2 linked regions of the Callithrix jacchus genome follow. Each later gene encodes a partner of the first gene's protein in a complex. Links are inferred from orthologs where the notes say so. Each region holds a gene or a part of one and is shown on either strand. Other genes may lie near its edges.

Region 1 (4,381 bases):
TGCATGTTGTCCCGGGTTGGCCACAAGCCCCTCCCACTAGCCTCAAAGCCACGCCCCCTCCCAGCCCCACTCGAGGCTCCTCCCACCAAACAAGTCACCGCCCCAGATCTTCCCACGCGGAGGGGCCCTACCCAGTCTCCATCCCAAACCACATCCCCTTCAAGGTCCATTTTAGTACAGGTCCCACCCAAGGCTCCTTCCATTTCAAGCTTCTTCCGAGGCTGCCCCTCGGAACCGTGGTCCCGCTCCAGTTCCCACAGCGCCCAGGTCAGCCCCCGGGCCTCTCCAGCCCACAGCACCCGAGATTTCTTCTTCACCTGTCAGCCCGAAGCCCCCCTCTAAGCCTACCCCTTTCAGCTTTGGGTCCTCCCTGCGTCCCCAGCCCTCTTGGTCACACCTGAGGGCGGTTCCGCGGCTGCCAGGGTCTCCTGGCACTCCTTGCGGTACCGTTTCCAGCGCTGGTATAGCTCCCCCGCCGTCTGCCTCTCGGAGCCTGTCTAGGAAAAGAAAGAAGGGAGGACCCCCCAGACCGACCCCCGCCCCCGGGCTGCTTGGCCATGTGAGCCAGAAGCACCCCAGAGAGACTTCGAGGGGCTGTCCAGTTTTGCTCGGGAGTCTTGGGTGGTTTGGAACCAAGTTTCAAGTCTTGGGGCCTGGAAGCCACCGAATGGAGTGGCTATGGGAGACTGAAAACCTTCAAGAAAACTGGGGAAGGGGTGGCTGAAATTATCAGGAGGATTTGTTGGGGGAAGAAAAGGAAGTGGAAACAATCATCAAAACTTGAATCTGGGCCCCGACGTGGTGGCTCATGCCTGTAATCCCAGTACTTTGGGAGGCCGAGGTGGGTGGATCACTTGAGGCCAGGAGTTCGAGACCAGCCTGGCCAACATGGTGAGACCCCCGTCTCTACTAAAAATGCAAAAATTAGCTGGGCGTGGTGGTGGTGGCAGGCTCCTGTAGTCCCAACTACTCAGGAGGCTGAGGCCGGATAATCACTTGAACCCAGGAGATGGAGGCTGTAGTGAGCTGAGATGGCACCACTGCACCCTAGCCTGGGTGACAGAGTGAGACTCTGTCTCAAAAACAAAAAAGAAAACAAAACCCCACAACTTGAATCTGGGCAAGTGGGGCAGTCTTGAAACTCTCCTTGTGCTTTATTTTTTTATTTCTCTGAGATAGTCACACTCTTGTCACCCAGTCTGGAGTGCAGTGGTGTGATCTTGGCTCACTGCAACCTCTGCCTCCTGGGCTCAAACGATTCTCCTGCCTCCGCTTCCCCAGTAGCTGGGACTACAGGTGCGTGCCACTACACCTGGCTAATTTTTAAATTTTTAGTAGAGATGGGGTTTCACCATGTTGACCAGGCTGGTCTTAAACTCCTGACCTCAAGTGATCCACCTGCCTCGGCCTCCCAAGGTGCTGGGATTACAGGTATGAGCCCTAATTAGGGAAGCCCTAAAACCAACCATCCCCAGACTTCCCTCCAAGCCTGGAGCTCCTCTGGCTCCTCGGGTCCTCACCTCCGCCCTCCGTAGCAGCAGCCCCCACAGCAAGAGCCGCAGCAGCAGCTGCAGGGTAGGAGAGGTAGTCATCGGGAGGGTGATGAAGGGTCTGGTTGGCGCAGGGTCGATCAGGCCTGGAGGGTCCCAGGGCAGGGTGAGCGCCTCAGCCTTCCGCCCTCTGACTCCATCCCCAGCGTCACCCAGCCTCAGGGATTTACATATGCAGACTCCCAGGCAGCTCGTCCCCCCATCATTCCCTCACACCCCCTAACCCCCCCCAACAACTCCCAGGTGTGATGATCTGGGGGGAGGGAGAGGCATGCGGAGTGGGTGGGACTCGGTGGTGGGCAGGGCCCCTTAAGTGACTCCCAGGCCGCCCTTGACGGTTGCTCGGGCAGCGAAGGTGGAAGGGGGGTGTTTGCTGAGCGGGCGGTTGCCCTAGAGCTACGCTGGGCGGAAGCGTCAGTGTCACCGGGAGTCTGGACCTACAGACTCCTGGGAACCCAGGGACTGCCTTGGAGAAGAGAGAGTAGAAACCATCAGCCTAGCCCCCTTTTATATGGGGGACTGAAAAACTCGAAGATTTTCAGTTCCTCCTAGTGGGGTGCTTGAAACGACCACCTGAGTTCCCCAGCCTGGTGGAGAACTTGAAATGCCTTTCCAGGTTCCCTCTCCAAGCCCAAAGGGTTTTGTAGCACAGATAGGAAGCCAACCTTATAAAACTTTCCCCGGTGGGGGCAGATAAAGCCCAAGGAAGTGGGACAAGCCTTTCCCAGCACCCAAATACTCAGGGACGGGAAAGGCGACAGATCCGGGGTTAGGTGTGTGCAGATGCCTGGAAAGCCGTCTATGTAACGCCCACCGCCCACCACCCACCCACCCACCCACCCGTGCCCCCGCAACTCCACGTAGAGAAAGAGGGAAGCAGAGAGGATCTCAGATCCAACCCCAGACAACGGCGTCACAGACACAAGCGACAGAAATATAAAGACCGAGAGGCACAGAGACTGAGGGACAGAATGAGATCCCCGGACAGAGACCAGAGACCAAGAAACAGAGAGACACAGATGTGGGCTAGAAGACAAAGAGGAGGGAGAGAAGTGCAGGGAGACAGCAAGGGGGAAAAAGGGTATCTCAGCTCAGCAGAGATGAAGACACACAGAGACATCAAGAGACAGAGATGAGCAGAGACTGTGGTGGGCACAGAGACAGAGACAAAGGCAGGGCAGAGAAGCAGAGGAGGAGAGTCCCAGAGACTTGAGGGGTGGAGGGGGGCAGGAGGAATGGGCTGGGACTGGGGAGCCCTCACCTGTCCCCAGTCCTGCTCCTGGTCCCTTGCTCCCGCAGCCCCTGCCACCGCTGCCTCCACTGTCTCATCTGGGCTCCGGGAGAGGTGACAGGCGCAGGCAGCCCGGGGTGGTGGGAGGGGGCGGGGCCAAGGCGGACGGGGAACGGAAGTGGGGAGCTCTGGGGCAGAGAGCTGAGCAGGGGGCAGTCATCAAGGTCATGAGGGAGGGCAGTTACTGAATTGTTCTTATCGTCCTGAGGACCCCTGTACCAAGTGTGCACAATCTCTCATGCTGTCCCACCCACAGGTCCCCCCCACCCAGTCACTCATTCCCAGAGCCTCACTCACTCAATCAAAACATGCAGTGTCACACAATCCCATAGGCTGAGCCGTGGAGAGGCACAGTCACAGAATCTCACAAACTGTTACTCACACAGCCGCAAGTTCAGTCACAGCCCTACAGTCCCATGGTCACACCCAGAGAGCCACAGCTCCTCACTCACAGGCAGACAGTCATCCATAGTGACACAGCCACATGCCCAGGGCCATGGACTCCCACACACAGTCACACTCACAGTGTCCCAAGTTCCAACAACACTCGATCACACGCAGATTCGCGCAGCCACTGAGTTTCGTCACAAACACTGTTGCCCTGCTAGCCTGTGAGACCTGAGAGGGCAGAGCCAGGACATCTGGGTCACCACTGGGTCCCCAGAATCATTCAGAGCAGGGGTTCAAGGAAGAATGGTCATGAAATAAATATGTGTAGTATGCAGTTGTCTGGTTACTCGCAGACATATCATTTTGTTTTGTATTTTTTGAGACAGAATCTCTCTCTGTCGCCCAGGCTGGAGTGCAGTGGCACAATCTCAGCTCACTGAAACCTCTGCCTCCCAGGTTCAAGCGATTTTCCTGCATCTCAAGCGATTTTCCTGCATCAGCTTCCTGAGCAGCAGGGACCACAGGTGTGTGCCACCACACCCAGGTAATTTTTGTATTTTTGGTTGAGACAGGGTTTCACTGTGTTGCCCAAGCTAGTCTGGGCAAGATGAGGAAACCTCCTGACCTCAGGTATCCACCTGCCTCGGCCTCCCAAAATGCTGTGATTATAGGCCACAGCCACTGCATCCGGCCCATACAATCCTTTTTTAATTAAATTAATTTATTTATTTACAAGAGTGGAGGGCACTGGCACAATTATAGCTCACTAGAGCCTCCACTTCCTGGGCTCAAGGGATCCTTCCACCTCAGCCTCTCCAGTAGCTGAGATTACAGGCATGAGGCACCCTGCCCGGCTAATTTTTTTGGTATTTTTAGTAGAGATGGGGTTTCACCATGTTGACCAGGGTGTTCTCCAATTCCTGGCTTCAGATGATCCTCCTGCCTTGGCCTCCCAGAGGGCTGGGATTACAGGCATGAGCCACCATGCCCCACCCATTTAAAAAAAAATGTCTATATCATACAATCTTTTTTTTTTTTTTAGAGATAGAGTCTTGCTCTGTCTCCAGGCTGGAGTGCAGAGGTGTGATCTTGGCTCACTGCAAAATCTGCCTCCCAGGTTCAAGTGATTCTCCTGCCTCAGCCTCCCAAG
Region 2 (3,322 bases), on another chromosome or scaffold:
GTTGGTCAGGCTGGTCTTGAACTCCTGACCTCAGGTGATCTGCCTGCCTTGGCCTCCAAAGTGCTTGGATTACAGGTGTGAGCCACCACGCCCGGACTTCTTTTTTCTTTTCTTTTTTGACAGAGTCTTGCTCTGTTACCTAGGCTAGAGTGCAGTGGCACAATCTCAGCTCACTAAGACCTCCACTTCCTGGGTCAAAGTGACGCCTCCTGGGTCAAAGTGGTTCTTCTGCCTCAGCCTCTGGAGTAGCTGGGACTACAAACAAGTGCCTGCCATCATGCCCAGCTAATTTCTGTACATTTAGTAGAGATGGAATTTTGCCATGTTGACCAGGCTGGTCTCAAACTCCTGACCTCAGGTGATCCGCCCACCTCGGCCTCCCAAAGACTGGTATGACAGACTTGCACTACCGAACCCATTCCTTTTTTTTATTTTATTCTAAAAATAGAGTCTCAGGCCAGCGCGATGGCTCATGCCTGAGATCATGCCATTGCACTCCAGCCTGGACAACAGAATGAGACTCCATTTCAAAAAAAAAAAAGAAGACGAGGGTCTCACTATGTTACCCAGCTGGTCTCAAACCCCTGGTGTTAAGCAATCCTCCAGCCTCAGTCTCCCAGAGTACTGGGATTACGGGCAAATGCCACCATGCCCAGACCATATTTCTTTTCCATTGGGTGGTACCAGCACATACAGAGATACACAAAGACAAACGTGCCCTGTTAGTGCTCAGTAGTCATTTGAATACATTTTCACAATGGACTCAACTTATCTCAGCATAGACTTTATTGGTTTGGCTTTTCTTTTCTACTCCAGAGTGGGGCTGAGGCAGGAGCTAAGTGAAGGGCTGAATCCAGTCCTGAGCTGGGTGTGGTCAGAGTCACCGAGACCTGGGACAGTGGGAAAAGGAGAAGTGGTAGAGAGGAAGGTTGTTAGGGACTTGCAGTAGGCCAAGCACATTTCTCCTGGGACTCAGCCATTGTTGAATCCCTCCTACATTTAAATCACCTTTTAAAAATTTTTTATTTTTAAGGGCCAGGCGTGGTGGCTCACACTTGTAATCCAAGCACTTCGGAGGCCAAGGCTGGTGGATCACCTGAGGTCAGGAGTTCAAGACCAGCCTGACCATTTTTTAAGGCCAGGCGCGGTGGCTCACACCTATAATCCCAGCACTTTGGGAGGCCAAGGCGGGTGGATCACGAGGTTAAGAGATCGAGACCATCCTGGTCAACAAGGTGAAACCCGTCTCTAAGAAAAATACAAAAATTAGCTGGGCACGGTGGTGCGTGTTTGTAGTCCCAGCTACTCGGGAAGCTGAGGCAGGAGAATTGCTTGAACCCAGAAGGTGGAGGTTGCGGTGAGCCGAGATCGTGCCATTGCACTCCAGTCTGGGTAACAACAGCGACACTCCGTCTCAAATATATATATATATATATTTTTAATCATTTTACTTAGGGTTTTTTTTGTTGTTTTGTTGGGTTTTTTGTTTTGTTTTGTTTTGTTTCATTTTTAGTAGAGACGGGGTTTCACCATGTTGGCCAGGCTGGTCTTGAACTCTTGACCTCAGGTGATCTGCCCACTTCAGCCTCCCAAAGTGCTGGGATTATAGGCGTGAGCCACCGCGCCCGGCCAGTTTACTCAGTTTTGAGACAGTCTCACTGTGGTGCCCAAGCTGGAGTGCAGTGACTATTTACAGGTGAAATCATATATCACTGCAGTCTGGAACTCCTGGTCTCAAGCAAATGCTCCCATCTCTGCCCTCTCAAATCACCATTTTAATGATAAGTAATCAAAATAATTCACAAAAGTACAGAGACTGTTATCCACCTCCCTACAGAGATTTTTGCACACCCTCTTCTCCATTGATCTGCTCACACTCCTGTCCCTTCTTCCCTTCCTGAAGTTCCTGTCCCAGATTTTCTCCCTCAGTCTCTCCCCAGTTGCTCAGCATCAAAGTCTAAAGTGTTTTGGCTTCCATGCCTCCTGTCTGCACCATGGGATTCCTGTCTCACCCTTTAGGTGGACAGGTCTCTTCATAACATTTAGTCCCTCAATTCTGGGACATAAGGAATGGACTGAAGAATTTTCTAGCTGGTGAGGTAGATTCAAGAGACCACTGAAGCCAGCAGTGGCTACAGAGAAAGGCAACATGGCTCCCACCATGCAGGTTCCCACCACCAGGAAGGTGCCATGGCCCAAGAGTACAGAGAAAGAGCTGAGAACAGGATGGCCTCAGCTTGGCGGGTAGGGACAGGCAGAACACAGAATGGGCTCAGCTCGGTGGGTAGGGACAGGCAGGGGAGAAGAGCGCAGCACCTCGCCTGGAAGAGTGAGGAAGAACAAATAGTAATCAGAGCTGCTAACCTTTCTGAGCTCTTATTACTCCTCAAATGTGGCCCTCAGGTCTCTGCTTAAATTGTCTCTTTTTTGTCTTTTGGTTTTTTTCTTTGTATTTTTCCACTTGTATTCTCTAATTTAAAACTCACTACAACCCCTTGAAATGATTCTATACCTCTGATTTTAATGAAAACACAGGTTCGGAAAAGCTAGTAATCAGCCGGCACGTGGAGGGGCAAAGATCTGAATCCATGTCTGTTACCGAACTCAAGTTAGAGCCGCTGTGAGGCACCACGCTCCCTACCTGAGCCTGCAGAGGTTTGTCTGATCCACCAAGCAGGCCAACAGCTCCTGAATCAGCAAGTCCCGAAGCAAATCTTCATTGCTGGGGTTCTTGGGTGGGGACCTGCAAGGGATCAGCCTCTGGCTGACTATTTTAGCCTGGGCCTTACCCAGAGAGAGTAAACACGGGGCTGGGGACACCACGGATTGCAGGGGAGCTGACACAGCTGCCTCTCCATTGGCTCAGCTATGAAATCTGGATCCTTCTTTCTGCCAGCCCCATCCAGCACTGCCTTCCTGGGGAATATGGACCCCTCACACAGGAAGAGTCGAACAGAATTCTGGTGTGAAATATTCCACCCATCCACCTCTGCAAGCGTTGCAGGATGCAGAGAGTACTTTGGGCACATTCACTCTTTGAAATGCCCTGTGCCATTCAGAGGGGGTAACTGATTTCAGGGGAGTGAGCCAGGGAAGATCCCCCTTTCTTTCACAAACAGCCTTCCCGAGGTGGCAAGGCCAGGACCTGAGTCTCTTCTTTCCCGGCCTTCTCCTGACAGGGACTCTGCTATGCATGAAGTCATCAATCTTAGAAACCCTGTCCCTGAAACTCCTCCTAGCACCCCTCCCCTGTTCCTCCAGGGCTTCTTCCTTAAGCTCCGGCTGACCTCCAGGAGTTTGCTCAATGAAGACCCCTCTTTGA

What was found.
Region 2: the proteins of GIPR (region 1) and GIP are in contact, whole or in part, in a cryo-EM structure (PDB 7RA3), measured with the Homo sapiens proteins. The link is inferred for Callithrix jacchus from reciprocal best matches to the Homo sapiens genes GIPR and GIP. Residues at the interface, in NP_000155.1 of Homo sapiens: Gln30, Thr31, Ala32, Leu35, Tyr36, Trp39, Tyr68, Trp71, Leu88, Trp90, Arg101, Arg113, His115, Asn120, Gln130, Arg131, Leu134, Glu135, Leu137, Gln138, Tyr141, Tyr145, Arg183, Ile187, Arg190, Asp191, Pro197, Gly198, Pro199, Tyr200; in NP_004114.1 of Homo sapiens: Tyr52, Ala53, Glu54, Gly55, Thr56, Phe57, Ile58, Ser59, Asp60, Tyr61, Ser62, Ile63, Ala64, Met65, Asp66, Lys67, Ile68, His69, Gln70, Gln71, Phe73, Val74, Trp76, Leu77, Leu78, Lys81.

What each region holds. Positions count from the first base shown.
Region 1 is NC_133523.1:39,824,801-39,829,181, reverse strand, and holds the start of GIPR (gastric inhibitory polypeptide receptor), read right to left. Parts: upstream 2,882-4,381; 5' UTR 2,812-2,881; intron 1,637-2,811; 5' UTR 1,593-1,636; coding exon 1,521-1,592; intron 498-1,520; coding exon 398-497; intron 1-397. UniProt on the Homo sapiens protein: This is a receptor for GIP. The activity of this receptor is mediated by G proteins which activate adenylyl cyclase.
Region 2 is NC_133506.1:117,334,293-117,337,614, reverse strand, and holds the end of GIP (gastric inhibitory polypeptide), read right to left. Parts: intron 2,744-3,322; coding exon 2,642-2,743; intron 891-2,641; coding exon 881-890; 3' UTR 769-880; downstream 1-768. UniProt on the Homo sapiens protein: Potent stimulator of insulin secretion and relatively poor inhibitor of gastric acid secretion.